Linked DNA regions of Lonchura striata. The protein of the gene in region 2 interacts with the protein of the main gene of each other region in a pairwise test. Links are inferred from orthologs where the notes say so. Each region holds a gene or a part of one and is shown on either strand. Other genes may lie near its edges.

Region 1 (7,020 bases), on a different chromosome or scaffold from region 2:
TTCCTCCACAAGGGAGCAAACACTGCTGCACTTTGCTGCTTTTATTATATATAGAGATTAGTAAAAATATGTAAAAATATGTAAAATATATTACATTTTTAAACTTATATTAGTATTTACTAATATTCATTAGTTAAAAATATGTTAAAAATATAAAATTTATTTACTAACACCCCGTTTCTTTTCTGTGTAACTCCATATAATAATATCCAAAACAAGCTTTGCTCTTGCTAAGTTATGAAGGAAGACAGCAGAGCTGTCCAGGTGTCTGTGGGTCAAATCTTTGATTATTCCTCTCATCCAAAGCACGTCAGCCAACTCCCATCAAAAACCTCCTTCCAACCTGTCTCTTGCAAAAGTCAGCACAGCAGCTGAAAGATTATTATAAAATATCCTCCCAGCAGCGGGCTGCTTCTTTGTTAATAGCAGCTATTCCATTTGGCTAAACCCCAGGATTAATGGGTGTTTTTCTGTGTGCAACACAAATCTTTGCAGCTTTACATGACATTTTGTTTCTTACAGGAGGGAGATAGGGCTATGAAAAGCCATTTGCAGGAGCTCCTTTCACCTAAGTGTACAGTTAATAAATAAATTTTATCTATTTTATATATGTTTTTACTAATATATTAGGAACAGCATTCAGATCAATTCACATTATTCCTCAAAAGAGGTGTTTAAGATAAGCTGAGAATTAAACATTTTCTAATTGCATAATGAGGTTCAAAATTCACAAACTGTGAATTGTAAAGAAAATGTGAACCCTTTGTAAAACAAATCTATCTGTTGCTTGAAGGATAGGAAGGTGAGCAGATCCTAATTCCCACCTTGATATTTGCATTATTATTTTCCAAGCTAAAAAATATGCAAAAAATATTAAAGAAGCAGAGCTTTGTTCTGTAGCATCACATGAAGTTCTGAACAGCACCATACCATGAGAATTTGTGTTTTATGCATAATTTATTATGTTGTAGGCAGCTACAGTAAAAAAAAAACTGTAAAAAAAAAACCTGATTTAGTAAAAAAAACTGATTTAGAATCAAAATATCCAATTGTTTGGGGTTTTTTTAAAAGACAGCCCAGTGACACTGGATCAAGGGTTTGAAATTGGTCTTCTGAGTGTTTTTGTACTGTGATCCTGAGGTAAAATCAAACAGAAATTATTCCTCTGAAAGCCAAGCAGTTTAATTAGATTACAGTTACACAAAATGCACTTGATTAATCTCTGATGTCTACAATGAAATCACAATATAAATTATTCCTTGGATGATATCAGATCAAAAGACCACCAGAGGATTGTCTTCCTTCATAACTTAGCAAGAGCAAAGTTTGTTTTGGCTATCATTATATGGAGTTACACAGAAAGGAAATGGGGTGTTAGTAAATAAATTTTATATTTTTACATATTTTAACTAATAAATATTAGTAAATACTAATATAAGTTTAAAAATGTAATATATTTTACATATTTTTACTAATCTATATATATAATAAAAGCAGCAAAGTACAGCAAGATGATTTTTGGGCTGGATTTGGAGGAAGATTCTCCAGGACTAGAATTTAATAGGAAAATTGTATGCTTTTTTAAAGGAAAATTTAAGCCAGGATGTGCTGCCTTTCCCATTCCATCCTTCCCACACCAGGGGTGGGATGGGCACGTCTGGGGTAACAAAAACATGGAAAAGGTGGTGATGGAAAGGGCACCGATGGAATAAAAGGGTTTTGTTCATAAAATTCCAGGCTGTGTCTTACACAGGGGGGATTTTTTTACCATCATATTCGGACAAGTTCTGAGCACTGGGCAGGAATGGAACACATAGTTCACACCAGAGTCCAGTTTCATTATTCATCATAGAATTTCTGCCTAATATCTAATCTAAACCTATGCCCTCTCAGTTCAAAGCCATTCCCTGTGTCCTGTCCCCCATCCCTTCTCCAAAGTCCTTCTCCAGCTCTCCTGGATCCTCTTTAAGCTCTGGAAGGGGCTCTAAATTCTCCCTAGAGCCTTCTCGTCTCTGGGCTGAACAATCCGAGCTCTCTCTTCTTTCTGTAAATGAAACAGAGCACTAAATAAAGATACTATTTTTTAAAATTTTATCTCTATGTATTCTTTTACAACATTACCACGTGGCAAATCCGCATTACATTTTAAAAAGTAAATAGCTGTATCAAGAAAATGTCATTTTTGTCCATCCAGACTGGGATGTGAAAGGGTTGCTGTCCTACACCACTCTTGGAGAAAATGTTTTATATCCTCTGAGACAAGCCATGCCTCCATGGAATAGCACCAGCATTAATTAGCCCCGACTAATTTACCCTCCTCATATTGCTGTGACATCGCTGCCACATTTGTGCAACAGACGGGGCTGCGGTGACTCAGCCTCTGTGACTTTTGGGGTTTTTTTGGAGAAATATCTAGATCCAAGCCTCGTCCTCTGGGAAATGTCCAGGGATAAAACACACATAGTCTGAAAAACCATTGTTTTCCTCAGGAGCTAAATCAAATTATCTTTCCTGATACTCCTCAGTCTCCGAGGGACTCGGTGACTTCATTTTCACACTTGGGAAAAACATCCCCTGTCATAACTTTGATTTTTCTCAACAAGTGTCATGGAAAATTATAATGAGCTCTGTCAACATGGAAGACTTTACAGGGCTCATTTTCAATCATTAAAAATAAGTAGAGACTATATGCAGGGTCAGGGCAGTACATATATATATATATACATACATATATTATATATATATATATATATATATATACACACACACATACTCCACAGAATTCTTCTAGTTATGGTACACAGGCATTATTTTCCAGGTAGAATTTCAGAAGTAGGAACAAAATTACCATCCCCTCTGCTCCGCAAGTGTTTCTCTCTATTGTTTTTAATACTGTTTCTCTTTTTTCTTTTTTTTTTTTTTTTTTTTTTTTTTGCTAAAATTCTGGAAGACTGGGAGGAAGGGGGATTACTCTAGGCAAACGAAAGTGTAAAGAGAGTGAAGATTGAGGTGTAATTTTTGTCTTCATGATGCAAATAAATGCAAAGTGTAATGAGGGGAAGGATTAAACTTGATTTTTTGACTCCATGATGGGGGCAGACACAAATTTTAGCGAGGGGAAGGATTAAACTCGATTTTTGACTCCATGATGGGGGCAAATGCAAACTTTAGCGAGGGGAAGGATTAAACTTGATTTCTTGACTCCATGATGGGGGCAGACGCAAATTTTAGCGAGGGGAAGGATTAAACTCGAATTTTGACTCCATGATGGGGGCAGACGCAAATTTTAGCGAGGGGAAGGATTAAACTCGATTTTTGATTCCATGATGGGGGCAGACGCAAATTTTAGTGAGGGGAAGGATTAAACTCGATTTTTGACTCCATGATGGGGGCAAATGCAAACTTTAGCGAGGGGAAGGATTAAACTATTAACTTTGGGCTCTGTGAGGGGAGTGAATGTAAAGTGTGGCGAGGAGAGCGCCAATTCTCGGCTCCATGAGGGGAGTGAACGCCAAGCCTAGCGAGCGGAATGTTTAAACAGCCGGCTCCACGAGGGGAGCGAAATGCAAGCGCCGTTGGGAAAAGGATTAAAAGATAAATTTTGGTCCGCTCCCGGCAGCAGCGCAGGCGCGGGGCGCGCCCGTCCCGCCCCAGCCCTGCCCTCAGCCCTCAGCGCCCAAGATGGCGGCGGCGCTGAGGCGGCTCCTCCTTCCTCCCCCTGCCCGCGCTGCGTCACCGCTCCCGCCCTCTCCCCGCCCGCCGCCATTGGCCGCGGGGCGCGCGCGGCGCAGCCAATGGGCGGCGGCGCCCAGAGCGAGGCTCCCCCTTCTCCCCCCCCGCTCGCCCCGTCCCTTCCCCCGCTCGGCGGCACCGGCGCGATCGGGCCGCCGGCACCGGCCCCGGCCCGGCCCGCTCCAACCGCCCGGCCCCGGGCCGCGCTCCCGCCCCGCGCCGGCCCCGCCGCCGGCCCCGCCACCCCGCCCCGCCACCCGGCCCTTCCCGGCTCGCTGAGGCCGACTGCGGGCCCGCCGGGCCCCCGGCGCGCTACGGGCCCGGGCGGAGGCGGAGGGGCCGCGCTCCTCCCTGGCCGCCCCCCGCCATGGCCGACAGCGAGAAGCTGGACAACCAGCGCCTCAAGAACTTCAAGAACAAAGGCCGCGACCTGGAGGTGAGCGCGGCGGGGCCCTGAGCCGCGGGGAGGCGGCAGCGGCGAGGGAGGGAGGGAGGGAGGGAGGGAGGAAGGAGCCGCCGAGGCCGCGCTGAGGGCCGGGCGCGGCCGGGCCCGCGGGCTCCCGGCGAGGGGCAGCGGCCGCGCCCGCCCGGGCCGGCTCCGGGCCCGCTCCGGCCCCGCTCCCGGCCCCGCTCCCGGCCCCGCTCCCGGCCGGCTCCGGGCCGGCTCCGAGCCCGCTCCGGGCCCGCTCCGAGCCCGCTCCGAGCCGGCTCCGGCCCCGCTCCCGGCCCCGCTCCCGGCCCCGCTCCCGGCCCCGCTCCCGGCCCCGCTCCCGGCCCCGCTCCGGCCCCGCTCCGAGCCGGCTCCGGCCCCGCTCCGGCCCCGCTCCGGCCCCGCTCCGAGCTGGCTCCGGCCCCGCTCCCGGCTCCGGCCCCGCTCCGGCCCCGCGGCTCCTCCCGGGCGGCTGCGCCCGCCGGGGCTCGGGGCCCGGCCCGGCCCTGCCCCAGCGGCCCCGCTCCGGGGTGGGCTCGGCGGAATCGCTGCTGGAACAATTCTTCTCCCAGCAGCTCCTAAAAGCCTGAGTCAGTATTAGGGCCCTACTCTGCTGCGTGTTTCCAGGATACCTAATTAAATAAATAACGCCGTAACTTTCATAGCAAGATTATTTTTTTAAAAAAACTCTTATTTTTTAAATTCTCTTTTTTTTTTTTTTTGTATTTCTCTTTTCTGCTCAAGCCGTTCTGCCTTGTAGCCCCTGAACGCTGAACTTTTTGGTGGTTCAATTATTCGAGCTCTGTAGGTGCTTCCTAAACACAGCAGGATAAGTAATTAACTTGGGGTTTCCTTAGGAAATAAGCAAATTTTAAAGCTAGGTATCAATCCTCGCCTTTAAACACTCGGCCAGGAGTGCTGGTTGGAGGTTAAAATTGTCTGTTCAGGGTTGTGGACAAGAATCTTGGCATTCCTCGTGGCTGTCTTTTGCTAGTTTCAAAGTGTCCCTTGTGTTTTCCATAATATTCTACTCTTATATATGAAGACATTACAATGTTTCAAAAGTGAAAACTCCTTTATATTCCCTGTATTGATTTAAACGTCAGTTTCCCAGGAGTCTGTAACACCTGGATTTTTAACCTGCCCACTTAGATTGATAGAACATTTTATTACTCAGTTATGCCCAAACTTTTGGCAAAAATATTGTGAGTGGGGATAATTAATTGCTCTGCTTGCTAACAGTGTTGTGAGGTTGGTTGGCAACCCCTCGCCTTAGATACTAATTTATTTTTATATCAATTTTGTTACCACTGAATAGGCAGCTACAGGAAGGCATCTTTAGGAATGCACACAGAATGTTCCATTACAGTGAAAAATGGGATTCATGAGTAGACACAGGCTGGAATTCAGGTGCCTTGGTGCAGAATTTCAACGGGAAAGGGCTGAAGTAGGGAAGGTTCAAGATGGACACGCAGGTAACACCACGTGGGAGTGTGTCAGAAGGCAGGCAAGCTCTTCAATCTTTTTTTTTTTTTTTTTTTTTTAATTTGCTGCAGCACTGAAACGCCTTTTTCCACAGCCCAAACCCACTGCTGGGTCGTGTTAAATTTTAGAGAGTGACATTTATCCAGCAAATCCTGGAGCACATGCCTGCTCCCTAAAATAACCACGGTGCAGGGCTATTTTTCATACAATAGCTCAGGCTTCTGGCTGTCCCTGCTGCTCATCAACTGCTTACACATCACACTGGGCATCAGGCTGAGGGAATTGCTGCTGCCCACTCCCACCCAACCTCCAAAATCCGGCTTGCAGGGCTGTTTGGGCAGAAATTTGTGTATTTATTTGGCAGAGGAAACCAACATTTGATCTTTATCTCCTTCACTCCTCCCCCTTTTTTATCTGCGCTGAAATTGGCCCTGGGTTGTTTTTACAAAACTATCGGGGTTTTTTTTAATTTTCCATTACAGTTTACCCCTAGAGAAATGAGAAATCGCCCGAATTTTGGTGAATGCCAACTGGAGAGGTTATGAAAGGTTGCCATGTTGTGAATTGCAAACTTCCTAAAAATGTTATCTCTTAATTCCATGTGCTCAGATCAGTCCATTGACAGTTACAGTTCCTGTCACACTGCCCTTGCCTTCCAGGTTTTACATATTCACTGGAAGTTCTTCTATTTCTGACCAAAACCAGGGAATTTCCTACATTTTATCCCTTAAAGTACCAAACATTTTTCACCTTTTTGGCTACTCCAGTTATTTGTTTTCTTTTCCCCAATATGCTCCTAAAAATACAAATTCTGGCCTGGAAAAAAGAGGAAAAAAAAAAAAAAAAAGCAAAGCCCAGCAGAAGCACCTGTTTTACATAAGGTGTTTGACAAAATTCCTTCAATGCTGAAGTCTTGGGTAAACATTTCCTGCACGGGCATGTTGTAAATAATTGCTGCCATGTGTTTGGGGATGACAGATTGGTGGTGACACTGGGAATTCAGGGATTCACTGGGACCAGAAATCCCCAAGAATTCCTTGTCCTCTCCCTGGTTTCTGCTCCTGCTCAAAGGAATACACGTAATAAAGTTTTTAATAGTGGGGGAGCAGTAATTTGGAGCTGAGGCAGCATCTCTGGGGGGAATTTAAGATTTCTGGTCAGTGCTTGCAACATTTTTTTAGGGTCCTCAAGATTTTAGAGCTGTGGGGGATAAATAAAATTGGTTCAGCACAAAGAGGAACCTTAAAAACTGCAGAAGTGTGGCCACAGTTTTAACCTCCAACCCCAGAGTCTGAATTGAAGAAGGGCTTATCTGGACTCATATTAAATTATGCAAATACTGATCCATTAAGGAGCAGGGTAAAGTGACTTTT
Region 2 (7,563 bases):
TTGGGGAGAAATGGAGAATTTGGGGGGTTTGTCCCCGAATTTTGAGGGTTTATTCCCAAATTTGGAGAGAAATGGAAATTTTGAGGGGTTTGTCCCCAGATTTGGGGAGAAATGGAGAATTTGGGGGGTTTGTCCCTGAATTTGGGGAGAAATGGAGAATTTGGGGGGTTTTTCCCCGAATTTGGGGAGAAATGGAGAATTTGGGGGGTTTGTCCCCGAATTTGGGGAGAAATGGAGAATTTGGGGGGTTTGTCCCTGAATTTTGGGGGTTTGTCCCCAAATTTGGAGAGAAATGGAGATTTTGGGGGGTTTGTCCCCGAATTTGGGGAGAAATGGAGAATTTGGGGGTTTTTCCCTGAATTTAAGAGAGAAACTCTGAATCCGAAGGGTTTCTCCCCAATTTTAGGGGTTTGTCCCTGAATTTGGGGAGAAACTGAGAATTTGGGGGGTTTGTTCCTGAATTTGGGGGATTTGTCCCCAAAAGTGGGAAATTTGTCCCTGAATTTGGGGAGAAATGGAGAATTCGGAGAGTTTTCCCCTGAATTTGGGGAAAATGGGGAACTTGAGGGGTTTGACCCCAAATTTCGGGATTTTGCCCCTGAATTTAGGCAGAAACAGAAAATGTAGGGGTTTTGTCCCCAAATTTGGGGGATTTGTCCCCAAATTTGGTTTGTTTCTCCCTGAATTTGTGGGTTTTCCCCCAAATTTGGGGATTTTGCCCCTGAATTTAGGCAGAAACAGAAAATGTAGGGGTTTTGTCCCCAAATTTGGGGGGTTTCTCCCTGAATTTGTAGGTTTTCCCCCAAATTTGGGGATTTTGCCCCCGAATTTTGGGGTTTTTGGCAAAATTCGGGTTTAACTCCCCGAATTCCCCTCCGCCCTCCCAAAGCCCCAGATTTGGGGCCAAAAGGGGAAATTTGGGACTTTGGAGCTTTAATTAAGGCAGGAGGGGGGAAGGGGGAGGGAAATTTGAGGGGGAATGGGGGAATTTGGGGGCTGGCCCCAAAATCTGGGGGAAATCCCCTGAAAATCGAGATTTTGGGGGAGAAAATGGAGGAAATGAGATGGGAGCTCCTGGAGCCAGGAGAGAACGCGGGAATTTGGGATTTAGCCCCAAAAACACTCCTGGACCTGATCAAAAACCTCCAAAATGTACCTGGAACTGATCAAAAACTCCTAAAAACCTCCAAAACCACCAGGAACTGATCAAAACCCCCTAAAAACCCCAAAAGCCACCTGGAAATGATCAGAAACCCCTAAAAACCCCCAAAACCACCAGGAACTGATCAAAAACCCCTAAAAACCACCTGAAACCAACCAAAAACCCCTAAAAACCCCCAAAAATCCTGGAAATGATCAGAAACTCAAAAATAAACCCAAAAACCATCTGGAACCACCCAAAACCCACCTGGAACCACCCCAGAAATTTCCAAAAACCACTAAAAATCACCAAAAACCCTGAAAAATCCCCAAACACCGCCCGGGACTTCGCAGGTGGGGAAGAGGCAAAAACTGAACCTGAAAAGGTCCCAAAATTGGGGGGAAAAGGGAAAAACGGAACCTGAGCTCCCAAAATTGGGGGGAAAAGGGAAAAACGGAACCTGAGCTCCCAAAATTGGGGGGAAAAGGGAAAAACGGAACCTGAGCTCCCAAAATTGGGGGGAAAAGGGAAAAACGGAACCTGAGCTCCCGAAATTGGGGGGAAAAGGGAAAAATGGAACCTGAGCTCCTGAAATTGGGGGGAAAAGGGAAAAACGGAACCTGAGCTCCCAAAATTGGGGGGAAAAGGGAAAAACGGAACCTGAGCTCCCAAAATTGGGGTGGAAAGGGAAAAACGGAACCTGAGCTCCCGAAATTGGGGGGAAAAGGGAAAAACGGAACCTGAGCTCCTGAAATTGGGGGGAAAAGGGAAAAACGGAACCTGAGCTCCCGAAATTGGGGGGAAAAGGGAAAAACGGAACCTGAGCTCCCGAAATTGGGGGGAAAAGGGAAAAATGGAACCTGAGCTCCTGAAATTGGGGGGAAAAGGGAAAAACGGAACCTGAGCTCCCAAAATTGGGGGGAAAAGGGAAATCTGGGAATTCCTGCCCCCCGCCGTTAATTAAACCTTGGAGGGGATTAATTAAAGCTTCTGGGGGGGTTTAATTAAAGGATTTGGGGGGGTTTAATTAAAACTTCTGGGGGGTTTAATGAAAGCTCCCAAAGCCAGGCTTGGCCACGCCCACCTCGGAATTGGCCCCGCCCCCAAATGTAGCCCCGCCCCTCGCTGCTTTATTAACCCTTAATTAGCATTAATTAGCCCCTTAACGATTAGCCACGCCCCCTGGGTTAATTATGCAAACGAAGGCCTCCAAGGGGAGTGAATTAGGCCCAGCCTGGCGCGCAAGGGGTTAATTAATTAATTAATTAATTAAGCCGAGGGTGTTAATCAGGGCTAAGCCACGCCCCCACCCCCGCGGGGTCAGCCCCGCCCCCGCAGGGGCTGATTAATTTATTAATTACCTCGGGGAGCCGAACCCCGCCCCCGCAGGGCTTAATTAAACACGGAGCGCCCTAATTAATTAATTAATTACCTCGGGGAGCCAACCCCGCCCCCGCAGGGGTTAATTAAACCCGGAGCGCGCTCGTTAATTAACTGGGGAGCCAAACCCCGCCCCCGGCGGGGTCAATCCCGGCCCTGAAGGGGTTAATTACCCCCCCAGCCGAGTCATTAGTTAATTACGCTGAGCAATTAGTTCAGGAGGGCGCGGCCCCGCCCCCAGGCCCCGCCCCCCCGGCCCTGAGCCCCCCCCCCCCCCCCATTTCCCGCCTCGCTCCCTCACGCGCCGCCGCCATTTGCACCCCCCAAACCTCCCCCGCGCCCCCGGGCGGGTCCTCCCGCCCGCGGAGCCTCCCGCAGCCCCCCGGGACCCTCCCGGAGCCGCCCCCGCTGCCCCCTCACCGCTCCGGGCACCGCTGCGCTGCCGCCGCCGCCGCCGCCGCTTCCTCCGGGGGCCGAGCGCAAAATGGCGCCCGCGCCGCCCTCAGCGCCGCCAGCGCCGCCGGGCCCGCCCACGCCGCCCGTTGCCGCGCGGCGATTGGCTGAGACGGCTGTCAATCCAGCGCCGAGCCAATGGCAGCGCGCGGAGCGGCGCTGCGCGGGAAGGGGGAGGAGAGACGGCGGGGGGCTCGGGGGGTGGTTTCGATCGCGCTGATTGGCCGAGCGCGCTGCCAGTTATTCCGCTATACCAATCGGAGTCCGGCGCACAGCGGAGGGCCCGCCCCCCGAGGCGCGCGGGGAGGTGGGCGCATGCGCAGCCGGCCGCCGTTGGATCAGCGGGAGGGCGGGGCGAAGGGCTCGGTGCGGGCTCTGATTGGGCGAAGCGAGACGTGGGAGGTTGGTGATTGGACAGCGGCGCTGTCAGTCAGGCGGAGGGGGCGCGGCCCAGTTCGCGCTGGTTTTGGGGCCTTTTAAACTGGTTTGGGGTGATTTAAACTGGTTTAGGGAAATTAAAACTAGTTTGGGGTGATTTTAACCGGTTTGGGGTCATTTAAACCGGTCTGGGCCCATTTTAAACTGGTTTTTCCCAATCCCGACACCTTTCTCCCCATTTTTCTCAAGTTTTCCAATTTTGTCCTCATTTTTTCCATCTTCCCCCCATTCTTTCCCACTTCTGCCCAATTTTCCCCAGATTTTCTCAATTTCCCCCATTTTTCACATTTCCCCTCCATTTTTTTCCCAGTTTTCCCCAATTTCCCCAATTTTTCCCAATTTCCCCCTATTTTTTCCCAATTTTGCCCAATTCCCCCATTTCCCCCCCCACTTTCCCCCTTTTCCCCCATTTTTCCAATTTTCCCCAATTCCTTTCCGAATTTCCTCCCTCATTTCCCCCAATTTCCCCCCAGTTTTCCCAATTTTCCCCTATTTTTCCCAATTCTCCCACTTTCCCACCATTTTCCCACCATTTTTTCCCAATTTCCCCCATTTTGCCCCATTTTCCCCCCTTTTCTCCCCATTTTTCGCATTTTTTCCCCGTTTTTCCCAATTCCCCCCATTTTGCCAAATTCCCCTCGATTTTTTCCAATTTTTCTCAATTTCCCCCCAATTTTCCCCAGTTTTTTTCTTATTTTCCCCATTTTCCCAATTCCCCCCGGTTTTGCCCCATTTTTCCCCTTTTTCTCCCATTTTCCCAATTTCTTCCCATTTCTCCTCAATTCCCTCCATTTTGCCCAATTCCCCGCGATATTTTACATTTTTTCCAATTCCCCCATTTTTCCCAATTTCCCCCTTTTTCTCCTTTTCCCACTTTTTTCCCCATTTTTCCCAATTTACTCCCCATTTTTTCCCAATTCCCATTTTTGCCCAATTTTCCCCTTTTTTTTTCTCATTTCCCCCCATTTTTCTCATTTTCCCCACCATTTTTCCCAATTTCCCCCATTTTTGCCCCATTTTTCCCCCTTTTGCCCCATTTTCCCAATTTTTTTTCCATTTTTCCCCAATTTCCCCCATTTTTCCCCAATTTTTTTTCCAATTCCCCCCATTTTTCTCAATTTTTCCACCATTTTTCCCAATTTCCCCCGTTTTTGCCCCATTTTTCCCCATTTCCCCCGTTTTCGCCCCATTTTTCCCAATTTCCCCCGTTTTCGCCCCGTTTCCGCCCTGGCGCGCAGGAATTCCCGTTTTGGTTAGAAAACCTTAAAAAAACGAAATTTTTATTGAATTTTTGGAAAAGAGCCGCGGGGGGGGGAGGGGGCCCGAACCCGGGGGGGAAAAACCCCAAAAAGGGGGAAAATCCCCCCAAAATGGGGGGACCCCCATAAATACAGAAACCGGGGGAAAAAACACGGATTTTGGGAAAATCGGGGAAATCCGGGGGTTTTCGGCACCGATTTCCGGTGGGAAAATCTCGGGGAATCTCCCCAAAAACCCCGCGGGGAGAAAAAAAAAAAAAAACAAAATCCCCGAATTTTCACCCAAACAACAAAACTAAAAAAAATTCCAAAAAAAACCCCCAAAAACGGGCGGGGCCCCAAAATCCGCGGGAATCGCCCCAAAATTCCAGAGGGGGGGGGAAAATGGGAAAAAAAACAACAAAAAGGGGAAAAAAGGTGAAAAAAAACGGGGAAAAACGGGGAAAAAAGGGGCGGGACGGGGGCGAAAAGGCCCGGGCGGTTTTGGGGTGAAAAGCGGCGATTTTGGGTCCCGTCACTTCCGCTTCTTCTTGGGGGGGTGGGGCCGGCCCCGGCCGGGGGGGCCCTTGCGCTTCCGGCCCCGCCCCCGCTCCTCCTCCTCCTCGTATTGGCTCTCGCGGTCGGCTGGGCGCCGTTTGGGGCGAAAAACGGCGATTTTGGGCAAAACGGGGATTTGGGAAAAAGGGGGGTTGGGGGGGAAAGGGGGATTGGGGGGGGAAATGGGGATTTTGGGTAAATGGGGAATTGGGGGTGAAAAATGGGGGTTTTGAGAAAAAGGGGGATTGGGGGGGAAATAGGGGTTTGGGGTGAAAAATGGGGATTTTGGGCAAAACGGGGATTTGGGGAAAAAGGGGGATTGGGGGTAAAGGGGGATTGGGGGGGAAAATGGGGATTTTGGGTAAATGGGGAATTGGGGGTGAAAAATGGGGGTTTTGGGAAAAAGGGGGTTTGGGGGGGAAGTGGGGATTGGGGTGAAAAACGGCGATTTTGGGCAAAACGGCGATTTGGGGAAAAAGGGGGATTGGGGGGGAAAATGGGGATTTTGGGTAAAGGGGGAATTGGGGGTGAAAAATGGGGATTTTGGGTAAATGGGGAATTGGGGTGAAAAATGGGGATTTTGGGAAAAAGGGGGATTGGGGAAAATGGGGAATTAGGGTGGAAAATGGGCGTTTTGGGAAAAAGGGGGTTGGGGGGGAAAATGGGGGTTTGGGGTGAAAAATGGGGATTTTGGGCAAAAGGGGATTTTGGGGGGTAAAGGGGGTTTGGGGGGGAAAATGGGGATTTTGGGTAAATGCGGAATTGGGGGTGAAAAATGGCGGTTTTGGGAAAAAGGGGGATTGGGGGGAAATGGGGGTTTGGGGTGAAAAACGGGGATTTTGGTCAAAGGGGAATTGGGGGAGAAAACAGGGATTTTGGGAAAAAGGGGTTGAGGGGATTTGGGATTTTGGGGTGAATTCCGGGGGTTTTGGGGTGATTTAAGGGGTTTTTGGGGTGAATTCCGGGGGTTTTGGGGTGAATTTGGGGATTTTGGATTTTGGGATGAATTCCGGGGATTTTGGATTTTGGGGTGATTTAAGGGGTTTTTGGGGTGAATTCTGGGGGTTTCGGGGTTGAATTCGGGGATTTTGGGTTTTGGGGTGATTTAAGGGGTTTTTGGGGTGAATTCTGGGGGTTTCGGGGTTGAATTCGGGGATTTTGGGTTTTGGGGTGAATTCCGGGGGTTTTGGGGTGATTTAAGGGGTTTTTGGGGTGAATTCCGGGGGTTTTGGGGTTGAATTTGGGGATTTTGGGTTTTGGGGTGAATTCCGGGGGTTTTGGGGCCGCACCTTTCCGCGCCTCCTCCTCCAGCTCGTCCCAGTCCTTGCCGCTCTCCTCCTCGCTGCCCAGGGAGTCCTTGGAGTACTCTGGGCAAATCGGGGCGAAAAACGGAGAAATCGGGAAAAACGGGAAAAAACGAGAAAATTGGGAAAAAAACCCCAGGAAAAAAGGGGAAAAATGGGGTAAAAAATGGGGAAATTGGGAAAAACAGGAGAAAAAGGGGAAAATTGGGAAAAAAACACAGGAAAGTCGGGAAAAAAAGGGGAAAAATGGGGTAAAAAATGGGGAAATTGGGTAAAAAAACAGGAAAATTGGGAAAAAAACCCAGGAAAAAAGGGGAAAAATGGGGTAAAAAATGGGGAAATTGGGGAAAAAAACATGAAAATTGGGAAAAAAACCCCAGGAAAATAGGGAAAAAAGGGGGAAGATGGGGAAATTGGGAAAAAAGGGGCAAACAACAGGAAAATCGAGAAAAAAGGGGGGAAATGGGACAAAAATGGGAAAATTGGGGAAAAAGGGGAAAAATGGGCAAAAACAGGGAAATCGAGAAAAAAGGGGCAAAAAACGGGAAAATTGGGGGGAAAAAAACCAGGAAAATTGGGGAAAAAAGGGGCAAAAAATGGAGAAATAGGGAAAACTGGGAAAAAAAGGGGTAAAAAATGAGAAAATTGGGAAAAACGCCCAGGAAAATCGGGAAAAAAGGGGAAAAATGGGGCAAAAAATGGAGAAATCTGGGAAAAAAAGGGGCAAAAAAAGGGAAATTCGGGAATAAAGGGGAAAAATGAGGCAAAAAATGGAGAAATTGGGAAAAAAAGGGGCAAGAAAAAGGGACATTCGGGAAAAAAGGGGAAAAATGAGGGAAAAACGCAGGAAATCGGGAAAATTGGGGAAAACATTTTTTTTCCCCCGCCAGGTGTGCTCAGGTGAGCCCAAACCCCCCAAAAAATCCCCACTTTCAACCCAAATTTCCCCATTTTTAACCCAAATTTCCCCATTTCTAACCTGAATTTCCCCGTTTTTTCCCCGTTTTTCCCCCCAGGTGTGTCCAGGTGTGCCCAGGTGTGCCCAGGTGCG
Region 3 (7,364 bases), on a different chromosome or scaffold from region 2:
CTGGGAGAGCGAGGTCGGGACACGAGAAGCCGGCAGGCCCAGCGCAGGGCCCCGCACGGCCGGGAGACGGCACCGCCCGCCACGCGGAACAGAAAGCGCACAGAGAGCATCACTTCCTACCAAATCCCGCCCGGCACAGGGGAGGAAGGGAGCGCCAGAGATGCCTCTTGGCAGGCACCGAGTAACTCCCCTTCTGCCCGCCGAGCAGCTTGCCCCTGCCCCGGGGCCTCTGCTCCCACCCTCGGCCCTGCTCGCCCCGCGAGGGGCCGCACGGGATGCGGGAGCCCTCACTCCCTCCCTCACTCCCTCCCTCACCCCCACTCCCTCCCTCTCCCTCACCCTCACCCCCCACCGTGTTTCCCCGTTATTCCCTCCGCAGGCCCGACGCGCTCCCCTTCGCCCTCCCTTCTGCTCCGCCGCAGGTCGGCGGCCGCGACCCTCCGTGCGAGCGGCAGCGCGGCCCCGCGGCTCACCTTGAAGATGGCGTAGCCGGCGGCGGTCTCGAACAGCACCAGCATGGCTGCGGCGGGCGCCGCGTGCGCCGCCGCCACCGACCGCGCTCAAGCACGCGCGCGCCGCGCGGCGGAACCGGAACGGGAAGCGGCGGCGGCAGCGGAAGCGAGAGCGCGCGGGGAGCGGAAGCGGCGGGTCGCCTTCCGCCCGCCAGCCACGTGGCGGGGCCGCCCCCGCCGCGGGTTCGAGTCTCCTGACGCACAAACACGCGGGAGCTGGGGCGCCGCCGGTGTGCCCTTCTGGCACCTCACCCGAGCTGTCCTCGCTTCCCCGGGTGCCGCAGTTGGCGGCAGGGTCGGCCACCGTTGATAGGAAGCGGGTGTGTTCCCCGGGACGCGAGGGGCCGTGCTAGAGACTTTGTTTCCCGAACGGACCCCGAAGCAGGGGTCAGCGGGTGGTCCTCTCGGCGACCCCGAGCCGCACCGGCCGCGGTGTCGGGGTTCAGCGGCGCTCCCGGCCCTCTGCACGTGGCGGGTTGCGTTCTCTGCCCACTCCGCTCTCGCTCCCGTGGCCTGACCTGCAGCTCATCGCACCGAAAGCATTTCCTTTGCGTAAAGAATTGTTGACACAGTGCGATTGCGAGTATTTAAAAGCTTGGCTTCGCCAACAGACAAGCACCAAATTGCTCGTATAAAACGCGTTTCGAACGCTGCGTGTTTCCCCGCGCTGCTCGGCTCTCCCCGGGGCACGGGCAGCTCCGTCTGCGGGAAGGCACGGCCCGGGGCGCTGGGGCGGCCACTTGAGCCTCCTCCTACTCTGGTGCCACCTCGTGCTTTGTCCTTGGCACAGCCCGGGCGTGCACAGCGCGGCGCCTGGCTGACCTTCTGTGCCGCGGCCCTGCTGGGGAGCCGAGCAGCTGCGTGCCGGTGGGAGGCGGGCGGAAAGCGCCGCTCCTTGCCCTTAGAAATCCCCGCTTATTTCATACGCAGGGTTAGCTGTACTGAAAACAGGCAGAGATTTTCCTGCCCGCAGGTAGAGAGGCTCCAAGAAACGCTTTTGATTTATATCAGACAGTCATTGCTGCGTTTTATGCAACCATCTGTATGAGTCAGCATGCCTTTGTTTCCAGGAGTACGCTGGAAAGTCCACAGTGAGAGAAATCTGTGGACTTTAATATTTCTGAAGATTTTTTTATTCAAAGGAAAGACTTTGGTACTTTACATCACATAACCAATTTTCTTAAAATCCCACAACCAGTAATATTGCCAAAGAAATTAGGTTCAAGGAGGTAGAGAATTTCCAGGTTCTACCTAGTTTTAAAGTACTATTTCTGGCCCTGCTGGCAGAGTACTCTTATTATGTAAGAGCTACTGTTAACTTAGCTGGTTGCCCTAGAATACTACATTCATCCTGTTGGCTAGCACTAACTGCTATCAGGCAAGCAAATTGGTATTATGAGATTACAAATTGTTTATAGGTTAAAGTCTCCTTTTTAAAGAAATCTGTTTCTGATGGACTGAAGCTTTGCACAGACTCTATGTATGTGTGGGCCAATAGCTTTGAGAAAACCTCTTGCAGCTATTGGCTCCTATACAGTAGCTTTGGAGAAATCAGTCAACAGAGGTGAACTTTATTGGCATCAGGTGACTGAGGTTAAGTGCAGGTAGGAAAATAAGAGACATTATAAAACACCTGAGAATTCAGTGAGGTTGTTAGGGCAAGTACTATGGGCAGTGCGTGCAAATGCAAGGCTGGCTTTGGGTTTTGTGGGAAGAAGCTTGTGTAAGTATATTTGGTATTTTTTAAACAGCTTTTGTTACTTTCTCTTTAAGTGAATTCTATGTTGAATTTGAGCCATTGAAAAAGAAAAGTGAGAGCTTTACTGCTGTGCATCCACAGTTTTCACAGTCTTAGTGGAGATTAACTTTGAAGATCCTGTATAAAACTAGCTTGTGTCTTGGAGAGCTGGTGCATCCACAATTGATGGAATAAGAAGGGTGGTGAAAGGTGGTGCTACTGTTAGTGTGTGTGCTGATAAGCACATTCTAACCCTGTATCTTTATGGCTATGCATGTGGATAGATAACTGCACTCTAACTCATATGAGTGTTAGCTTTTATTATGGGATTACTTGAAAAAATTGGGTTTGTGCCAGAGTCTGAGACTTTGGCCTTAGCACAGTAAGGCTCTGTTTTTAAAAACCCATTTAAAATTTATAAAAAGCAGTAATGTTCAGGATAGAATATTTGTCATTTTCCATTTTGCTAGTATTGTGCGTTGTTGTGGAGCCCTTGCATGGCTTATTTTGGTGCTTTGTGTGTATTATTAAGCTCATAATGAGCTCTTACTGTGAGCTTGGCATAGCATGAACATATTTGGCTTTTCTGCTTGGCCTTGTCTAAGAAAGATCATCTTCATTCTCTAGCTCTGTATAGCATTTGTTTTGGTTCTCTTTATTTATTTTTCCCTCCCTTGTTAATTCTGACTTGTTTTAACAGTTGTGATTAGAACTAATTCCCATGAGTCTAGATACTGATTGTTCTGCTGGCTGGCAAAAGTGCACCTCTTGGTGTAGCTCTGTTTGTAGCTTGGCATTCACTGATAAGCAGAAATGCAGGCACAGAGATCAGCTGCTTTGGTGTTTGGTGTTATTACAAGGGAATATGGCACACAGAGCATTGGCCTGTTTATGTTAATGAATGCCTCTTGCTCAGAGCTAATGAATGTACTCTGCACTTTCCCAAAGGTAGATGGTAAAGTTGAAACTCTGTTTAGTAGCATAAGGGTAATAATCTCATTTTTTCAATTGAGCTAGTTTCTGTTGATTCATTAATTTTACATTCATGCTATTTCATGGTTCTCATGTGTGGAGTTTTTTTTCTACTTGCTGGTGGTCACTTAGATCTAAGCATATGCCAGTAGTGATGCCATGCAGGAGTTGCCTGAGCAGTTGTAGAGGGGATGTTAGGACTCCATGCTATAGTCCAAACAGCTTGCAGCCTAAATGTAATCTTTTAGGTAGATGTTATTTCTTGTGCAGACTTCTGAATAGCGATGCTGTGCCAATGTAAAGCAGGGCACCTGTTCTAATGATACATCTTTGCAAATTTATTCAAATGCAAGCCTGGCTGCAGATTTGCTTAATACATGCAGATCCCATTGCTTGCATGGTTGCAAAAAAAACACTGTCTCTAAACAAAAGTGAGTTTTGCTATGGCATATTGTCTTAATAACAACCTCAGCAAGATATTAGAGGTAGGCAGTATGAAAGTGATTTTTGCTCCAAGATCTACTATTGTGGGAAGGGTTATGTGACTTCACATAATTGTCAGGATTGGAAGGGATCTCTGGAGAGCATCGAGTCCAAGCCCTGCCACGCAGGGTCACCTGCAGCAGGTGACACGGGAACATGACCAGGAGGGGTTTGAATATCTCCAGAGAGGCAGACTCCATGACTTCCCTGGGCAGCCTGTTCCAGTGCTCTGCCACCCTCAACCTGAGAAAGCGCTTTCTCAAGGTGAGGTGGAACTCATTATCTTTTAGTTTATGGCCATTACTGTTCGTTCTGTCATTGAGCACCACTGAGAAGCGTCTGGGACCATCCCCTTGGCACCCGCCTTGGAGGTATTTCTGTGCATTCGTGAGATCCCCTCACAATCTCCTCCAGACTGAACAGGCCCAGCTTCCGCAGTCTCTCCTCATGAAGAGAGATGCTCCAGGCCCGTCACCGTAGCTGTGGCAACCCTGGCTCCGGTCGCCAGGGCTGCCCTTAACGTTGGTCGCTTCTTTCGACGGCGACTCTCGCCTCCCCCGCGGCCTCGGCGGGAGCCGGTGCCGCGCGAGGGCCGGGCGGGGCCGCAGGCGGGGCCCGGGAGGGAAATGAGCTCAGGCGCACCGGAAATCCCGCCCGTGCCGCGGCCCTGTGTTTGCGCTGCGGGCAGAGAAAGGAGCGGAGCGCTTGCAGCGGCCCAGCCGAGCCTGCCGCACGACACGGGGCCGAATCATGTCTGACCAGGTACGGGCAGCTGTCCCGGCCGCGGGGGAACGGCGCGGCGGCCCCGGGGGCTCGGGAGGAGCTGCCGCCCCCCGCCCGCACTCTCCGCCGCCGCGGGGCAGCCCTGCCCGGGGCGGGCAGAGTCGCGGTCGCCCGGAGGGCGCCGGGGGGAACGTTCTCCGAGAGGAGTGTGTGTGTGTGTATGGATGGATGCCGATCTCCGACCTCGGCCGATTCGGGCCCCTCTCCGCGTGCATTTTAATCCTTTTCTCTTCTTTCCTCGGGGTGTTTCGCGAGGAGCGCGGTCGGGCTCCAGGCAGGGATACACGGGGGCCGGGGCGGTGTCCGGACGAAGCGAATCGCCGCCGGGACAGCCCCGGCCCTGGAAACCCGGGAATGCGGCGAGGGATAAGCTGTGTTGCACAACTGTTGTTTCCTTTCGTTTTTCGTTTCCCGGGTGTGTGGTAGGATGGTTTTCCCCCGGAGCGGGCTTTGTGAGGGTTAGGCTAGGCTTGCCAGGTACTCCGTTCGCCCGAGGAATGTGAAAGCCTGTTTTTCTCCCCCTCGTTTCTCAGCTGAGCGTTGCTTGCTTGTATTAAACACCCCGTCCTTTATGAAGGCTCTGTCCTGCCTTCGCTCCAAATAATATTCTCGTTATGCCCACATCATTTCTGTTTTCTGAGCCGGGGAGTTGAATAGTTGCTTGTACCGCAAGTTCCTGGGTTGCTCGGCCTGGCATGTATACAGTGCTTTGCCTACAACTATTGCTTTAGGCTATATGTCCTGCTAGTGGAAAGTTAAAACGGCGTTCCGGTTTCAATTTGTGTTCCGTTTTGCTTTATTTTTTTTATATTGTCGTCATAGGGCACTGTTTTCTATCTTTGATTTTTCCCAAAGTGTAGCTATCGTGATAATGTCAGTACCTACATGTGTTTCTTGTAGTGCTGTGAAGTCAAGAATAGTACTGGTGCCAGCCAGGAAATTAAAAGTCCCCAGAGACAAGGCTCAGCTTAGTGCATACCGTGTCTGCTTTGGGGAGTAGCCTTGGTGCAGTAGGAGCCGTGAAAAGAAGCCAGCGCTGTGTGCGCTGGTGGTCTTCCTCCCCGCCCCCGACTTCCCAGCACAATGCGGCTGACAATGGTGCTGCTGCCTCTCTGTGCCTGTGCCTGGGAGAGGGGCAGCTGGGAGCACAGCGATTGCTGCCTCCTAGGACACATCGCCCCTGTAGCAAAATACGTGAAAGTGACTGCATTTAAAAAAAAAAACAAACAAACTCACCAACAATTTCTGAACTAGATTTTATAGACAGATGTTCACGTGACCTGCTCTCTAGTTGTCTGCATATCGGAACCAAGGTATGTTTTAGCAAATAGCAGCTTTCATTACTTAGGCAAATCCTTCCCCAGGCAAGTTCTGCTAAAATACATGCGTATTTTGTCTTTGAGATTGCTTGAAGTATGTAAAATTCCATGTATGTGATAACCTGTTGTGGCTATGTATCTTAAAGGTCTGTGAATAAGGAGCCTGCTGTTTATTTTTAATAGATAAGCAAAACACTGTTAGACGTTGTGTCATTCATTTCTGGAGCACTGTGCAACAAGAGCTAAACAGATGCTTAAGTAGAAGAATAATGTAAGGTTATGCAGCACTGTAAATCTCATTCCTCTGTTTATCAATCTTACAAGAATAACTTGATTACCTAAAATTGTGAATTGCTTAGAGTATTGTTCTTTTTGGCCCTGGAATTAAGTTAAGAGGGGTGTCATTTATCACCCATAAAAGAAGGGTTACTTTATTTTCAGTGGGAAATTGACTTTTATGGTAAATAAAAATACTTGAAAGAAGGGCAGACTTAAAAAAAACCTCATGGTTGCTTGGTGGGATCTAAGCAAAAATGAAACAAAACACAAATTGTTTCCCCCTCCCTTCAAGTGTGTTAGGCTGTTTTTGCATTATTTTAATCTAAATGTTATCTATTAATGTAATCTGTTAATAAAGAATGCTGTAGTTTGTGTGTATGTTTTTCACTCCCTTAAAAAATGTAAGCATTTATTTGCTTTGTTATGAAGCGTGTTCTACATCTATTCCTCTTTTGGTTTTGACAATTTTCCTTTAAAATGCTGAGTATAGTTTGTTTTTTTAAGGTTAGACATTGAAGTTTTATCCCTTCTGAAAATTGGAGGAGGAAACTTGCAATATATTGCAAGTTTGTTTTGTGTATGTTTAGTTTTTGTTAGTTGCAATAGCAGTACCAGTGTGTTTCATCCAAGAAACTTCGTGTGCTTTTTAGGGTCCGTATATAAGTGTGAGACAGTGCACAGAGTCTTACATTGTGCTCTTTAGGAAAACTGCAATGAAGCCTTTAAAACCTTAGGCATCTAATGAAAAGTTAGAAATTGGAGTGCTGTGGTATTTCTGTTCTTTTGTATGGTGGTGTTTTTTATGTCCTGTTTCATGAGGTACTTTAAAGCACCATTCTTTTCACAGGGCAAGAAGTCTGGAGGCTTCCTTGCTAGTTGCTGATCCAGGATTTTGTTAATGGATGCTAGTAGTTGTAACAACTTTGGAATCTCCTTAGTTTCTTTATTTCTAAGTAATTTTGTGTTGCCTTAACCATCTGGCGTTGAATGGCAGTATAGTTCACTGACAAAATGCAGAGAGCATTTTCAGACTTGCTGGGTCTTGTATCCTGGTGTAAAGTATTTTGCTCCTAAATTAAGCTTTGATTATTGGCACTTCTATTATTTGATTTTATATTATTTTTCTTCTCCTGAAACTACAGCTTTTTTTCCTCTTTATTTTGTGAATGAGAGGTTGTGGGGCTTTAAACAAGCATCTTTATGATTTGAAGACTCCAATTCCCTCTGCTTATTCTACTCTTGGGCACTTTCCCTATTTGTTTTTAATACTAGAGCACT
Region 4 (7,819 bases), on a different chromosome or scaffold from region 2:
GCAAGCCATTCAGTGGGACTTGCTGCTTGTGAAATAGATGTGAGCTCCAGCTGGGTGCTTTTCACAGCCTCTCTGTGTGTCACTTCTGGCCCTTAGGCCTTGGAGTTGGAGATCTGTTCTGTGCCTTTGCTCTGTGATACCGAGTTCTCTTAGGGGGGATCATTCCAAGCTGAACCTCCCTTATTCCATCTTGGCTCTGTAAATCTTTATGTGGCCATCCCTTGTTTGCAGTAGAACTTGCATGCTGTGCTCTCTCCCTCACACCTCCCTTCTTTGGAGAGCTGCCTTCTTGGTTTTTAAGGTGCCATGGAATGTCTTCTGTTTGCAGATTACTTCTTTACACAGAGAAGTGGAGAAGGTGAAGGTTGACCAGAAGAGGTAGGAGACCTGGAGCACTTGAAATGATTTTATTTCTTCTCTGCATGGGCCTGCCTGGCTGTGTGACAGCTCTGCAGAGTCTGCAGCGTGAACGGGAAGCATTTGGCTCTCTTTGCAGACTGGATCAGGAACTGGACTTCATTCTGTCCCAGCAGAAGGAGCTGGAGGACTTGCTGTCCCCTCTGGAGGAGTCTGTGAAGGAGCAGAGCGGGACCATCTACCTGCAGCACGCAGATGAGGAACGGGAGAGGACGTGAGGCACAAACCTGTGGGGATGGGGGCCGAGCACTGGCCTGTGCCCACAGCCCTCAGCAGGAGTGGAGCTGGGATGGGTGTCAGGATTAACAATCAGTGCCTACCGTCAGATATTTATTCCTGGTTTATGCACGGCAACTTTAGATTTTACTCAGAGTCCTCCACTCTCTTGCTGGTCTGTCTCCATGTGTAGCTCAAGGGAGACAGAGCTTGGGAGTCCCCTCATGTGGGTGCTGGAGCCTCCCTGGGTGCAGCTCCCAGTCTCTGCCAGCCTGGGCTGCAGCTGTGGCAGCTGATGCTGATGGCCCACAGCTGGTGTGACTGTGAGCAGGCCCTCCAAGTTGGCTTTGACCATTCTGATCTTGGTTCCTGTGTGCTCTGCAGCTACAAACTGGCTGAAAACATCGATGCTCAGCTGAAGCGCATGGCACAAGATCTGAAGGACATTATTGATCACTTGAATACATCAGGAGGCCCAGCAGACTCGAGTGACCCGGTAAATGCAAGCTTTTATTTTATGTTGCTGAAGAGGCAAATGATATTGAAATAATTCTAACTCTTAATTTGTCCCCATGTGGATATTCCACTTATACTTTTTCTTCATACTATTTTTATATCCTCATAAAACAAGATCTGTATAACCAGCTCCTGATATCTTTTAAATTGATTTTGATGCTCCTTAGGGCTTTGCCCAGAAGCTTTTTTCTGCAAAAATTTCCTTTTAGTATTTTAGACTGAGTTTACCCACATTCATTTTGAATTTTGCCACCTTAAGCCTAAGGTTATGAATATTCTGCTGGTTCCTAGGTCTTAAATTAAGATAAGCCAAAGTCACAGACATGTTATCTAAACTGTTCAGTTTTCTTGCTGCTATGGAATAGCCAAGTAGCAGTGTTGCTGCACACACTTCCCTGGCTTAAGTGGCTGCTCTCTTGGGAAAGGCATAACTTTGCCTTTGACTCCTCCTGGTGTTTATGCCGTCTCGCAACTAACTTGCACCTTCTCTCTCTGCTCAGCTTCAGCAGATCTGTAAAATTCTGAATGCACACATGGATTCCCTGCAGTGGATTGACCAGAATTCAGGTGAGATTTGTCCTGCAGCCTTTTGGCAGTGTGAGTGGGAAGCAGGAGCTGTGTGTGAGTGTTCATCCCTGAATTCCTGAGGATGCCTGAGGAATCTTCCTCCTCAGCCTTCAGTGGCATTGTCCCTTCTGACATCTGCTTGAATTCTGCTGCTGTGCCTGATGAGAGGCCTCTGCTGGGAAGTTACTCCTGACAACTGGTATTTTTACCCAGAAAGCCCTCCTTGAATTGCGTCAGTACAAAGCAGAGAACTTGAAAACCTTATTCATTCTGTCAAACTAATGTTAAATAGTTCAGCTTCTAAAGATTGTGTGGTTTCTCTGTGGTGCAGGAAAATTGGTGAGGGAAATGTGTGTGTGTTGAGTGTTACTATCCCTCCCAGTCTGAAAACAGGAAGTCACATCCAGATAAGATGGAGCAGCCTGCCTTGATCTGCAGGTGGGGTAACTGCAGGAATAGTATGGGAATTTCACAACCTCCAAAGCTTGAGTTCCATTGCACACAGAGATGCACTCAGGAATAGGCACTTGACAGTGGAGTCATACTAAAACAAGACAGAAAAAAGGAAGTTTTCCCTCTGGAAGAGTGCCTCCTGGTGAGGGATTCTGGAATTTTGTGCCGTTTGGATTTTAACTGGTAGCAGCCACACGGGGGCACGGCAGAATAAAGCAGCTCTCCTCTCAGAGCCCCAGAGCCTAGTTACAGTGCTGTGAAATGCTCACACCTGGGGTAACAACTTGCGTGAAAGCAGACCTGCTCTTCTTCATGTTGGCTTAGGTCAGGGTCTAATTCGGTGTTTTCTTTCAGAACACTCCTGCTAAGCTTCCCATTCTAAACATGCCTTTTTCAGCAAATCTGGTACAGCTCCTGTGCAACCTGAATTTACATAATGTGTGTAAAAATAGCTATCTGTTTGCTTTAAACTTTCCTAGAAAGGAGACAAATTTTTTCTTTTGCCATTAAATAACGAAAACATTGTCTTATTGGTAGTACTTTGGGTTGTGTTTTCCTCCTGCTTTATCCACTGACAAATCTGAGTGACTGTCAGCAAGGAATTATTTTTCTTTCTGCAGGCAAAACTGTGCAGGGTTGTGTTCTGGGGTGACTGTGACATTTAATCCCTTGTTTCTGCCACAGCTGTGCTACAGAGGAAGGTGGAAGAGGTGACCAAGGTTTGTGAGAGTCGCCGCAAGGAGCAGGAGCGCAGCTTTCGGATCACCTTTGATTGAGACATTCCCAAGTTCAAAGGATGAACATAAAACCTCCACAGAAAACAGAGGTGTTTGGGAGCTGAGGACTGAAACAATGACCTGGTTTTATTTCTTTTTTTACAATAAAATGTGCTGTTTGTTCAAAGCCAGTCTTTGTGGTGTTGGACTGGATTTCACGTGCTCCTATCAGAAACTGGATGAAGTCTGCAGGAAGTGTGTACTCCTTGTGCTTTAGCTGTGCCTGCAGACTGGTGAGGTAACAGAAATGCTGTCTTGGAGGACTCCTGCGTGCTTTTGCAGGAGGAGGCTGCAGAGGTGGCTTATGTGAGAAGCTCCAGAAGCTTCCACCATGTCCAGCAGGGCCAGTCCCTGGTGGCTCCAAATGATGGACAGAGTTGCTGGCCAGGGCTGGGCCAGTTAGATATGGTGGTAATGACTCTGTGAAACAGCTTTTTAAGAAGAAATAAATACAAATTTGATGCTCAGTTGTAATTGCAGCCAGAGAAGAGAGGGGTGAAAATCTGTGAGGGGAACAGCTCTGCAGACACCAAGGTTAGTGAAGGAGGGAGGGAAAAAGGTGTTCCAGGTGCTGGGGCTGAGATTGCTCTGCAGCCTGTGGTGAGGACCATGGTGAAGCAGCTGTGCTCCTGCAGCCCATGGAGGAGCCCCATGCCAGAGCAGGGGCATGCCTGACAGGAGGCTGAGCCTGTGGCTGAGGTGCCCTGCTCCCAGGCTGGAGCAGCCTGTCCTGGAAGGACTCTGTGGCAGAGTGCCCCACACTGCAGCAGTCTGAGGGGGCTGTTGCCCATGGGATGGACTTCTCACATCAGAGAAGTTCAGAGAACTGTCTCCCATGGGGAGGACCCCACAGTGCAGCAGGGGAAATACTGCTGTCCCTGAGCACCAGGAAAACCAGGGGTGACAAACTGACCATAACCCCCATTCCCATCTCTCTATGAACTGATAATAAGCCCCATTCCTGTGTCTCTATGAACTGCTCATGACCCCCGTTCCCATCTCCCTATGAACTGACCATAACCCTGATTCCTGTCTCCCTTTGAACTGACCATAACCCCAATTCCTGTCTCCCTTTGAACTGACCATAACCCCAATTCCTGTCTCCCTTTGAACTGACCATAACCCCCGTTCCTGTGTCTCTATGAACTGACCATAACCCCCATCTCCGTATGAACTGACCATAGCCCCATTCCCGTCTCCCTGCGCTGCTGGGGTACGAGGGACGGGTAGGCGAAGGTGTTTCTAAGGGCTGATTTTACTTCCCATTACCCCGCTGTGCTTCAGTTATCAAAAAACTCCGTTCCCATCTCCGCCTTAAGCCCTTTGCCCGTGACGACACTCGACGCGAGATCCCTTCCGGTCCGTGTCTCAAGCCGCGAATTCTGCGCTAAGTGTCGTGCGTTCGGCCGCGGAGGGGAGCGGCTGTCCCCGGGGCGCCGGGCACACCGTGCGGCTCTGCCGGGCGGGGCAGCGCTGCGGGCAGCGCTCGGCTCGGCTCGGCTCGGCTCGGCTCGGCTCGGCTCGGCTCGGCTCCTCCCGGGGCGGCTCCCGGCGGGCGCTGCCGGGGCCCGGCGTGCGGAGCGGCGGGGCCATGCGCCGGTGAGCGGGGCAGGAGCGGGGCGGCCCGGCCCCGCTGCGGCGGTGCGGGAGCGCCTGCGGTGGAGGATCTGGGGTCTGGCTGCTCCGCGCAGCACGGACCCCGGAAAGGGAAAAGCGCTGCTGGAATTCACCGTTTCTCCTCGGCGTCGCGGTTTCACTTTCCTCCCTGTCTCATTTGGAGCTGGCAGTGTCTGCTGTGGAAAATGCGTGTTTTATGATTGGCTTTTCGCAAATTAATGTTATATGTATAATGTTAGAAAGTTATGGTGTATTAATTCTCTTAAGGACTCTGTTAAATATAGTTTTAGGTTACAACATAATGTTGAAATAGAAATCTGTGATGTAGGATTTTTTTACTAGCTCAAGCAAGACATGAGGTAATCAAAAAGCTCTTCACACAGAGGTGACAGTGACTTGGGGCCCATGAAGAGCTACTGCCTCCTTATCAGAAAAGACAGTCTTCCACCTTCTCTCCATCTTTATGGAACCACCGGGATTAAGGGGAAGAAGTTGACAAAAAACAGAAAAGTTCTTAATTTGCAAGGAATTTATGCATCATGTAGGATATATATGAATATGCAACAGGCTATTGCATTTAAGGTTATTCCTTTGTTCACAAAGTATGCTTTTTGTGACTTAAGTGTCCAAGAGCATCCATAATTCTTTGCTTTATATTGTTTTGTTATGGTCCTAACTCTAAACTTTATTTCTCTAATTGTGTTACTATTTTTATAACCATTTTATTATTATTAAACACTTAAAATTTTAAAAACCAAATAATGGGTGTTTTTCACACTGGCTAGATGCTGATGCAAGACGATTTCGGTCAATAAAAATTATGGCGTGTGATTTTAAAGTAAACAAACAACCCCCACACCAATATAAAAACACCCAGAGGCTCCTTGGGGTACTTTTATGTTCTCCAAGGAATCCCAAATTTGTTGACTTTTCTAGTAATGTTAAAGGGAGCTGTGGTCAAGTAGTTTTGGTTTCTTGTTTTTTTAAAATCCCATAAAACCAGCGCAAGAGGTGGAGGAGCTGTAGCAAGGATGTGTTTTGAGCAGTGTTTCCTCTATTGCCTGACTGCCCATGCCTGTGCTGTGGTTGTGTGCCCCAGGGTGAACAGCAGCCTGTCCAGTGATGAGCTTCTCCTGGAAGACTTGGAGACAGAAGGAGAGAGGCAGCTGAAGAGCCTCCTTCACCAGCAGCTTGACACCACTGTCTCCATCGAGCAGTAAGTGTGGTCTGGCCCAGGTGTGGTCTGAGCAGCCCCTTGCTGTCCCCAGTTCCTCAGTGCTGAGCTGTCTGTGCTGGCGTGTTCCTTTGGCTCACAGGTGCAAGTCAAAACGGAGATGCTTTGCTCCTGCAGCTTTTTACAAACCTTTCGGAGAAGAGGCTGCGGGGGCTTTGACCCTGCCACAGTTCCAGGCCCTGCAGGAGAGTGACAGAGAAACCTCGTCTCTCCGGGAGCTGGGGCTCTCCGACTCGGAGATCCTGCTCTGGAAGAACCGGGACTCGGCAAGGAAGGTGGGCATGCTCTGCTCTCACCTGAGCGTGGTCAGGTTCCTCTAACCCCGTGGCTCTCTGGTAGAAAATTCCAGTCCTTTGTAAGCCTTTGGTAAAGAATGGCCTCTCCTTGTATCCCTTGCCTTTAGCCCAGCACTATCCTACATTTCTTCTGGCCTCTTTTCTTTGGTGGAATGGTCAATGTTAAAAGATATGGTGGAGACAGGAGTGGGTCCTTTGGAACACAGCAGGATGTGAGGGTATTCCTGCCTTTGCCTTGATCTCAAATAAATCATTTCACCTCTTTATACCTGTGTATGAAGGATTTAAAGGCCAGAAGAGAAGGAGAAAATATTTCAAAGCATCTCAAATCCTCCTTTGAGTATCCTGATAAATCCCTGGATCCCATTGCTGATTTGGGATGGCTGTTTGTAGGGGGTGTTCTCCTTAGGGGCTTGCATGTCCTTCAGGGGCTCTGGGACAGCCACATGAAAATAGTGCAGAGCTGTCAGACCACTGTGTGGTCTGTGCCACCACCACTGTGTGGTGGCAGTGCCTTGGTGCCTCCTTGGATGCTCTTCCAGCAGGTTTCTCCCCTTCCCCCACTTTCACCCTTTTTTTTCACATTCCAGAGTCAAGAGGCTTTTGTGGTTGTCTGTATCAGGTGCATTGGAGTGTCCTGCTCTTAATCTGCCAAACTAGAAAATGCAAAACAGGAGTTGGGCTGATCCTTGGCTTCCTTTTGTCTCCTGTTCCTGAGTGATAGCTGTGTGCAGGAGAGTTGTCTGTGGAGAGTTGTCTGTGGTCATCAGTGCTTTGCCTCTTTTCAGCTGAAATCATTCCTTGCTTTGGTATTTAAATGGAAATCCAACCGTGGTGTGGCCTGATTAAAGCTTGGTGCAGAGAGGAGTGGTGTTAATTTAAGAATGAAAATCAATGTCGTCAGTACTAGCTGTTATATTTAGTATGAAATGTATTCTGGGATGTTCAGGAATAATTACTTGTATGGAAAACACTACTCTGACAGAAAATAAGGCTGACATCAGGGTATGTCTTCTACAGAAGAAGACATATTTATAACAGAAGAGAAGAATATAAGAGAAAAATATTTAGGGAGAAAGCCTAAGTCAGTCAAAGCCTATGCAGCTTTGGAGGTGGAGGCCCTGAGTGAAAGATTCCATCATGAGTGATGAATAATGTCAGCTGAAACAGAGAGAACTTCAGATTGCCTGGGGAGCTCTTGGCAAAGTACTGAGTGCGGATTTCTGTTATTTTCAGCTGCTAAGTGGCAGCTTTTTTGAAAACAAAGTACAACAAATGATTTCCGGGAATTGCTTTTCCGTATAAACAGCCTTTTGTGCCTCAGGGAAGCTGTGAAATGGTGAATGGAAGAAGCTGTGCAGATGTGGGGCAGAGGTACCATGGGAAACTCTGTTAGGCTGTGCTCAGTGCAGGGAGAAAGCCTTGTTTCTTGCCTGAGGCAGAAGGATCTGCCACAGGAATTCTCAAACTCAATTTGAGAACAGAAAATCCACCCACAGCCCCATCAAAGTGTGTTCTGTGTCCTGATGGAGGTGGATGGGGGAGCAGAAGTGCCCTTTCAGCAGCTGGGCTGTGTCTGTGTGCTTTGGCAGCATGAAGTGTTGGTGCAGGGAGGTTTGTGTACCCAGGGATGCTCCTTGCTCACAGCTGAGCTGCGGGGGCTGTGCTGCAGCTCCTCTGTGGTTTCTGGAAGCTGGCTCAGTGATGCTGGTTGGGGTTTAGTCCTC

The links.
Region 1: the proteins of heterogeneous nuclear ribonucleoprotein C (region 2) and KPNA4 interact in binary tests that used the Homo sapiens proteins (3 or more experiments, as listed by UniProt). The two-hybrid records come from large-scale screens. The link is inferred for Lonchura striata from reciprocal best matches to the Homo sapiens genes HNRNPC and KPNA4.
Region 3: the proteins of heterogeneous nuclear ribonucleoprotein C (region 2) and SUMO1 interact in binary tests that used the Homo sapiens proteins (3 or more experiments, as listed by UniProt). The two-hybrid records come from large-scale screens. The link is inferred for Lonchura striata from reciprocal best matches to the Homo sapiens genes HNRNPC and SUMO1.
Region 4: the proteins of heterogeneous nuclear ribonucleoprotein C (region 2) and RBM41 interact in binary tests that used the Homo sapiens proteins (3 or more experiments, as listed by UniProt). The two-hybrid records come from large-scale screens. The link is inferred for Lonchura striata from reciprocal best matches to the Homo sapiens genes HNRNPC and RBM41.

What each region holds. Positions count from the first base shown.
Region 1 is NC_134612.1:25,421,989-25,429,008, forward strand, and holds the start of KPNA4 (importin subunit alpha-3), read left to right. Parts: upstream 1-4,011; 5' UTR 4,012-4,099; coding exon 4,100-4,168; intron 4,169-7,020. UniProt on the Homo sapiens protein: Functions in nuclear protein import as an adapter protein for nuclear receptor KPNB1. Binds specifically and directly to substrates containing either a simple or bipartite NLS motif.
Region 2 is NC_134641.1:1,164,134-1,171,696, forward strand, and holds the start of heterogeneous nuclear ribonucleoprotein C, read right to left. Parts: upstream 3,017-7,563; 5' UTR 2,942-3,016; intron 1-2,941. Other genes in the region: SUPT16H (FACT complex subunit SPT16), read right to left, coding at 5,186-5,295, 6,498-6,575. UniProt on the Homo sapiens protein: Binds pre-mRNA and nucleates the assembly of 40S hnRNP particles. Interacts with poly-U tracts in the 3'-UTR or 5'-UTR of mRNA and modulates the stability and the level of translation of bound mRNA molecules. Single HNRNPC tetramers bind 230-240 nucleotides.
Region 3 is NC_134610.1:26,736,500-26,743,863, forward strand, and holds the start of SUMO1 (small ubiquitin-related modifier 1), read left to right. Parts: upstream 1-4,346; 5' UTR 4,347-4,455; coding exon 4,456-4,467; intron 4,468-7,364. Other genes in the region: NOP58 (nucleolar protein 58), read right to left, coding at 474-518. UniProt on the Homo sapiens protein: Ubiquitin-like protein that can be covalently attached to proteins as a monomer or a lysine-linked polymer.
Region 4 is NC_134616.1:18,475,896-18,483,714, reverse strand, and holds the start of RBM41 (RNA-binding protein 41), read left to right. Parts: upstream 1-4,802; 5' UTR 4,803-5,593; coding exon 5,594-5,778; intron 5,779-5,878; coding exon 5,879-6,071; intron 6,072-7,819. Other genes in the region: nuclear pore glycoprotein p62-like, read left to right, coding at 329-378, 497-631, 1,018-1,129, 1,650-1,716, 2,854-2,945. UniProt on the Homo sapiens protein: May bind RNA.